2 linked regions of the Rattus norvegicus genome follow. Each later gene encodes a partner of the first gene's protein in a complex. Links are inferred from orthologs where the notes say so. Each region holds a gene or a part of one and is shown on either strand. Other genes may lie near its edges.

Region 1 (3,651 bases):
AAGAACAGCATCTGGAGGAAGAAGTCAGACACCAGGCCCACCACAGCAAAGAGGCAGAACTCCTGCAGTGAACACACAGGAGGCATGGTGGCTGCACGGTCCCCAGAACTAGCAGGGCAGAGCAATGGCCAAGGAAAACATTCTTCAGCTGTGCTTTCTGGAGACTGGGAGCTGACTAGTAGGGTAAGGAGAGCTGTTCACTGGGGAGCAAGGCAGCGCCTGCATACTTTGCTCCAGAGTGGCCTTAGAGGGTGCTTTTCTAGGCTCTTCAAGTCCCTTGAGAAAGGCATAAGGGAACTGTAAGCCGCCAGCATGCTCCCTAAAGAGCCTTTCTGCACAAGCCCCAACTTGCTCATTGTGCTTTTCTGGTCAGTTAGCACTGAAAGAGGAGGATTCTGCCCTAACATGGGAAAGGGTGGTTTGCATCCTACATCTGGTTAAGGAGCAGGACTTGCTCAAAGTTAAGTTTTCTTCCCCTGCCCTTATTTGAGATCTCTGACACAGCAACATGGATTCTATTGAAAGCCTGCATGAGATGACAGGACACACCACACAGACACACAGACACACACAGACACAGACACACAGACACACAGACACACACACACACACACACACACACACACACACACACACACACACACATGCCCCATATGGCCACCCTGAAGCCTTACTTGGATGGCAGGCACAAGGGTGAAGTAGCCAATGAGGATGATGCCCAGTTCAGTTGCTACGTTCTTCATGATGGACCAGCTCTCACTGCTTAAGCCTGCACAGGGAAAACCGAAGTACTGAGGCAGTGAAGGGCAGGGAAGAGCGACATGTCTACTCCTGACCTTGTAGTCCTCAGAAGGACAGAGGCCTGAAGAGGGGGTCCGGCCTCTGGGCAGCCATTCCACTCAGTGGGCAGACTCTAGGGAGTCAGCACCATGGTGCAGCTGCTACAGAGGAAGGTGGGGTCCAGCAGAAAAAGGGAGAACCAGGGTGATGAGAAGAAAAGCCAAGAAGACAGCCCAGTGCTTTCTTGTTTTAGCTATGACCACATCCACTCCTGACCAGCAGAGCGATGGCAGAGCTAATAGACTCGTCCTCGTGCCGCTCTTAGGGTTAGGCTGCCATAGCTGTCATATGAACAAGACTCTATTTACACAAAAGATTTTGCCTCATCTCTTTATAACCCCACACCCAGGGCAGAGTCTAGAAGCACAGAAGTTCATCAGAGGAAGGTGGAATGAGTGTAGTCAGTTTCTGGTTACTGTCACAGACATAGGCCTAGGATAAAGAACCTAAGACATCTACTTCCTCTTAGCAGGACAGGGTGGTGTGTACCTTTAATCTCAGCACTCAGGAGGTAAGGATGGACGGATCTCTAGGAGTTTGAGGCCAGCCTGGTCTACATAGCAAGTTCCAAGCCAACCCAGGCTAACTCTGAGAGGCTGTTGTTGGGTTGTGTGGGTGCATATGTACACAAGTATGTGTAGAGGTCACACCAGGGACTGTTCTTCAGGAACCTTGTATTTGAGACAGAGTCTCTCACTGGCCCACGGCTCACCGATTAGGTTAGGCCAGCTGAGGGGCCACCTATCTGTCTCTAGTACTGGGATCACAGCTGCGCTGCACTGTGCCTGGCCTTTGCATGGGTCTGGAGACTGAACGCAGGGCCTCATGTCTGTGCAGCAAGCACTCTACTGACCGAGCTATCACCACAGCCCTAACAGACACATTTTGAGGGTTGGGCCTAAATATAAGAGGGACAGCCCATTACCCAGTGTTACCTTGTGCAATTCGAAGCTTCACCTCAAGGTCCACTGGAGTTGATACCACTGACTTGGTGAGCACCAACACATTCTCTAGCCCAATAACCACCACCAGATATGGGAAAATCTCGCTGGGGAACAGAGGAAGAGACAGTAAGAGATGGCAGCACGACCAGGTCTAACATAGGGTTAGTTCTTATAGGCTTGAGCCCTGGGAAAGCTGTGGGGGCTTCCAGCCTATATATAATAGAGGCTGCCAAGTGGCTTCTGTGACCTAGGGAAGGAACCTTCTCTAATGTACCTTTATCCAACAAGGTTCCTTGTCTACACAGCCTTTGGCCCTGAGGCAGACTCCAAAGCTTTGCTAAGGGGTCAGCTAATGTCTCTTGTCTCTTCTACCCAGCAGAGAAGGGAAACTGGGAAAAGCCCACTAGAGAGCATTGCTGGCTGCTACCAGAGCCCAGCCTTCCTGATCCCCCACACTAGCCTCCAATGGCTGACAGAATAAGCATGGAGCCTACATTTGTCACTCCAGGCCAAAATAGTCATCTAAATGGGAGGGATGGCTACAGCCTGAATCCTTCCACCTCTACTGAGAAGCCATGTCTTGAGAGGAGTAACTGTCCCATAAGGCATCTGGCTGCTGGCTGAGCCCTGTCCATGCACACAGAGCTCTGAGAGTGCCTCAGAAAAGGAAGCCAGCAGCCCAGAACACGAACCCAACAGGAGCCATACAAAGTAGCTTTTCTGCACAGCTGCTGACTCCCTTCCTAGGCCTTGGGTCTGATATCTAGCACTAGTTTTTCCTATGACTGCCTGAGAAGTCAAGGTCAGGGACGACCAATGGGCCAGTCCATTAGTAACTCAGGCAGGGCAGCCACAGAGCCCAAAGCCTGAGGACAGACATAGGGAAGGGCTTCTGCACTAAGATTTTCTGAGGAATGAGGGGAAAGGAACATCAGTGAGGAATGGGGGGGAGCGATACCTCCCCATACACTGACAACAGGACTCCACACTTACTCTATCTGGGGATTTAAATCTTTTAAAAAAAAAACTTTCATTATATTCATGTATGTATGTGTGTATGTGTGTATGTGTGTATGTATGTATGTATGTATGATGTATGTATGTATGTATGTATGCATACATGCACACAGGTGTCTCAGGATACATGTGGAGATCAAAAGACGACTTGTGGGAGCTGGTTTTTTTCCTTCCATCAAACAGATTCTAGGGATTGAACTCAAGTCATCAGGCTTGGCAGGAAATGCCTTACCTACTGAGCCACCTTGCCAGTCCTCTTTTAATAGTGAGGAAGACATGTATGCTTCTTTATTGCACACCTCCAGACACAGCCCTTAGAGAGCAGTGTCAGGCTGCGGAGGTAATTCAGTAGTTAAAAGTGCTTACTGCTGGGTTCGGTCCCCAGCTCCGAAAAAAAGAACCATAAAAAAAAAAAAAAAAAAGTGCTTACTGCTCTTACAGAGGACCTAAGCTCAGTTCCCAGCATCTATACCAGGCTCACAACCCCTGTACCTTGAGCTCCGGGGGCTCTCTGCAGGTCTCCACAGGCACCTCTATTTGCCTGCATGTTCCCTATGCCCCACATATTAAAAATAACAAAAATAAATCTAAAAAATGAAAGTGTGCATGTAGATTTAAAAATATAAACAATAACATCTATATATACACATATACCATACATATGCAAATATAAATATTCTAAAAGCACACAATGTATATGTACACATATGTACAAACACATACATGCATATAACTACATGCTCTATATAGAGAAAGACATGGCATATTCATATGCTTAAGGAGGGGAAAATGAACTCTTCAGTGTCAAAAATAATAAGGCAGACATTGCATAACAACAAACATCTAGTCC
Region 2 (3,695 bases), on another chromosome or scaffold:
GGCTATCTTTTGGGCATTCCAGGCTGCTGCACTAATGAACTCACAGCAGCTGTGGCCGCCTGCACACGATGAAGCCTGTCAACTGTCCAGCACAGGGCAGGAAGCAGTTTCCGTAGCTGAAGACCCACTGACAGGTAAAAGAGAGAATCAGTTTTCTTTAAGCATGTGGCCCCAAGCAGCTCAGCCACTATCCAATGGACTGTTGTATGGGAAGCACAAATTGTACTTGGACTCTGTGAGATTACAAAAGGGGGATCAAGCGTGAGGATGTGGAGCTGGGATGAGGGAGGGGAGAAGGCAGAGAAGGCAGGAGTAGGAAGTGAATATAATCAAAATGTATTAGCTGGGATAGCTATGGTCGCACAGGTCTTTAATCTTGGCACTCAGGAGGGAAAGGAAGGTGGATCTCTGAAGAGTTTTGGCCAGCCTGGTCTACATTATATGTTCCAGGCTAAAGTTACATAGTGGCCCCTATCCCAAAACAAACAAAAAACAAAATTCCATCCATACATATAAAATTCTCAGTTAATACAAATCTTGTATTTACTTGAATATATACATATACAAATAACATGACAAAACAGGTTTTGTGTGTTTGTGTGTGTGTGTAGTGTGTCTGTTTGTCTGTGTGTCTATGTACGTAATAAACTAACAAAGAAATAGGGGCCATGAAACTGAGAGAGTAAGGAGGGCTAGAGGAAGGATAGAGAAGGAGAAAATCAATCATATTTTAATTTAAAAAATTACAGAAATCCCCAAAAACATCCTCTTACCAAAAGAAAAAAGGAGGAAGAGGAAGAGAAGGATAAAGAGAAGGAAGAGGAGGAAAAGAAGAGAAAAGAAAAGAAAGATGAGAGAAAAGGAGAGTAATCCACAGAAGACTGTGAGACTCCTTAGCAATGACTCAAGACGCCTCGGCTTCCTAGGACCGCCCTTAGGGACAGGTGACTCCTGTTCCTTTACAGTAAAGTGGTGAATCTGGAGACCCTGGTAGGACAGCTACTAGGTCTAAGAACCTAAGTCAGGAGGACTAAGGTCTATCTTGAAGGGGAAAAAAGAACTAGCAGCTACTGGGAAATGTTTTATCTTCTGAGTTTAAGTAAAGGAAAATACAGGTAGATGTGCAGATACAGCAAAGAATAAGCTACAAGCTCTCTTGTCTATCTGGACTGCTTCTTAGAGAACGATAACCCTGGGGAGACCAGGCAGTGATGACTTATCTTAATTTAAGGCCTCTCATAGCTTGACAGGGCTCTCTAAGCCACATGTAATCTGACTGCAACAATATCCATCTGTCCATGTAGCAGGGTTACATCACTGTCCAGTAGGTTTCACAAAATTACTTGAAGATACCCCACAAGTGAACCTCGGCTTTGGACGGACATGCCTGCAACCTCTAGCTCTAGGATGTAGGACAAAGGTACCCCGTGTTGTGTCGTAAGGTATTCATGCACACTAAGCATACACAGTCAGAATTACAATCATCCTCTCCCACATGGCTGTGACTACCTTCTATTACTTGTTATATAACGCAGGGTTGACCCACTGACCTTGGCATTAGGCACAGCTAAAGAGCTGTCCACTACAGCAGCTCAGCATCGTTTGAAGATCAGAACACATCTCACTTGGCCATCAGTGTCCGTTACTGAACACAGTCAAAGTCACTAAGAGGACTATCAGGATTTTAAGCACAGACAGTCTACCCCATTGATGCCTTCGAGTATTTATTATTCTTCTGCTACATTTAAAAATGAGGCAGAAAGGATAAAACCATACACAAAAATCTAGAAATACACCAAGTTTTCAACTTGAATAAAATTATTCTACTTATTAAGTTTGTGTCTGCTTCAAACCCAAAAGTATAGCCCTTATGTCAAAACTTTTAAACAGCAGTGGATATTATCAAAATAATTCAGAATAAGAGGGAGATGAAGTGAGAAAAAGAAAAGATTTTAAATGCTTCATCCCTAGGAGAACGAGAACTGGTGTTATGGGTACATTTTAAAGGTGCAACCATCAGGCACCAGGCACCTACTGGCTGACTCCAAGGACAGCAGAGCAGGCAGGGATAAACCTGGAGGACAGAGAGCAGAGCCACTGCAGCCTGAGGCTGGGATACAAAGGAAGAAGGGCATAGAAAGCCTGGGAATGACAGAAACGCCACTGCCGGGTGATGGGGGACACTACGTGACTGCATGCATACACCAAATACAGCAAACTTCACTCACAGAGGTCCAGGTCCACTGCACTCCATATAATTATATCCTCCATGAGGCAGGTAGAGTACTTCCCACAAAAGCATGAAGACCTCAGTGCAGATCCTCAGCATCTATTAAAGTCACTGTGGTGACACACGTCTGTAATCCCAGTGCTGGAGAAGACAAGACAGGCAGGTGCCTGGAGCTCAATGGCCAGCTAGTCTACCCAGTTAGTGCTATCCAGGTTTAGTGAGAGACTGCCTCGAAAAACAAGTTAGAGATAATTGAGGAAGACGCCAACATGCAGGCACACAAGTGTTCCTGCACACCCACCCACACACAAATACACACTGTTACTTAAGCAGGGCCTTATTCCAACATAAGCAACACAGAAATGCCTTCCACACACCTGAGGCTGTACCGCAGCACGGTGGAACCCACCATGCAGATGAGAAGATGCTGGTGATCACATCTGGTGGGAACAGTGTCACATTTCTCTGAATCTGAAGCAAGTTCAACACTAAAGCCAGGAACACGCCAATGAAGAAGAGCACCACTCCCCGGATCACCACGTTCACGCTCTGGCTGGTGACAGAGGAAATGTAGGGGCCACGCTTTTTAGGCCGAGGTGACTCCGTCTCTCCTTCCGCCATGGTTTCATAAGTTCAGGAGGCCTAAGCCGAGAAATGAAATGAGGCTCCCAGTGGAAAAGGTGAACTGTGGACTGAAGCAGACCAATGTCTCAATGGTACCACATCCTGTCTGAACGTGGAGCCTACCAGAAATCCTACAAGAGATAAAAAGAAAGAATCAGCATGGGGCTGACACATGAGCACAAGTGATCACGCTTCAGTACTAGTTGAGCAGAAACAGAATGAAACAATGAACTTATACTGATTTATTTAAATTATTTACTCAATTAAGAAAATCCTTTAAAGGAGTCTTTATATGCATGTTGTAAAAAAATAAATGTTGCATGTGTATTCACTAGGGCACAACAAGTGACTCAAGAGACCTCAGCCAGAGCTAGAGAGATGGCTCAGCAGTACAAGGTCAAGCAGAGGACCTAGGTTCCCAGCCCCCACAGGACAGCTCACACAATGCCTGTAGTTCCAGTTCTAGTGGAGTCAATGCCATCTTCTGGGCTCTGTGGACACAAGGCATGCATGTGATACATACTCGGAGACAAAACAATCGCAAACATAAAACACACACAAATAAAACTTTAAAAGGAGAGAGTTGTCAACATTAGGGTCTGAGATAAAAGCTCAGCTAGCAAAGTGCTTACAGCACAAGTACAAGGGCCTAAATCTGATCCAAGCACTTACATAAAGAAGCCAGGTGTGCAGTGGTGGAGAGAGGGAGACAGGAGGATCCCTCAGGCTCACTGGCTGGCCTAGGTCTGTCTCAAAACCACAGTGGAAGAAGACTAAAGCAGGTACCCACTGTCTACCTCTGGCATGCACTTGACAAGGTAGAGGAAGCAGAAGAAAAGCA

The links. The genes of interacting proteins can lie anywhere in the genome.
Region 2: the proteins of Scap (region 1) and Insig2 are in contact, whole or in part, in a cryo-EM structure (PDB 7ETW), measured with the Homo sapiens proteins. The link is inferred for Rattus norvegicus from reciprocal best matches to the Homo sapiens genes SCAP and INSIG2. Residues at the interface, in NP_036367.2 of Homo sapiens: Pro200, Ser206, Val282, Ala283, Glu284, Ile286, Pro287, Thr290, Ile294, Ala297, Tyr298, Phe301, Lys305, Tyr351, Val354, Val355, Glu359, Thr409, Leu410, Val411, Ser638, Tyr639; in NP_001308258.1 of Homo sapiens: Phe41, Val45, Leu48, Leu49, Ile51, Val55, Leu57, Phe58, Pro59, Val62, Ser65, Ile66, Glu104, Trp105, Ser106, Met109, Arg110, Val112, Ala113, Val114, Val116, Gly117, His120, Gln132.

The regions. Positions count from the first base shown.
Region 1 is NC_086026.1:119,229,416-119,233,066, reverse strand, and holds part of Scap (sterol regulatory element-binding protein cleavage-activating protein), read right to left. Parts: intron 1,889-3,651; coding exon 1,776-1,888; intron 770-1,775; coding exon 675-769; intron 63-674; coding exon 1-62. UniProt on the Homo sapiens protein: Escort protein required for cholesterol as well as lipid homeostasis.
Region 2 is NC_086031.1:35,037,223-35,040,917, forward strand, and holds the start of Insig2 (insulin-induced gene 2 protein), read right to left. Parts: upstream 2,877-3,695; 5' UTR 2,852-2,876; coding exon 2,608-2,851; intron 1-2,607. UniProt on the Homo sapiens protein: Oxysterol-binding protein that mediates feedback control of cholesterol synthesis by controlling both endoplasmic reticulum to Golgi transport of SCAP and degradation of HMGCR.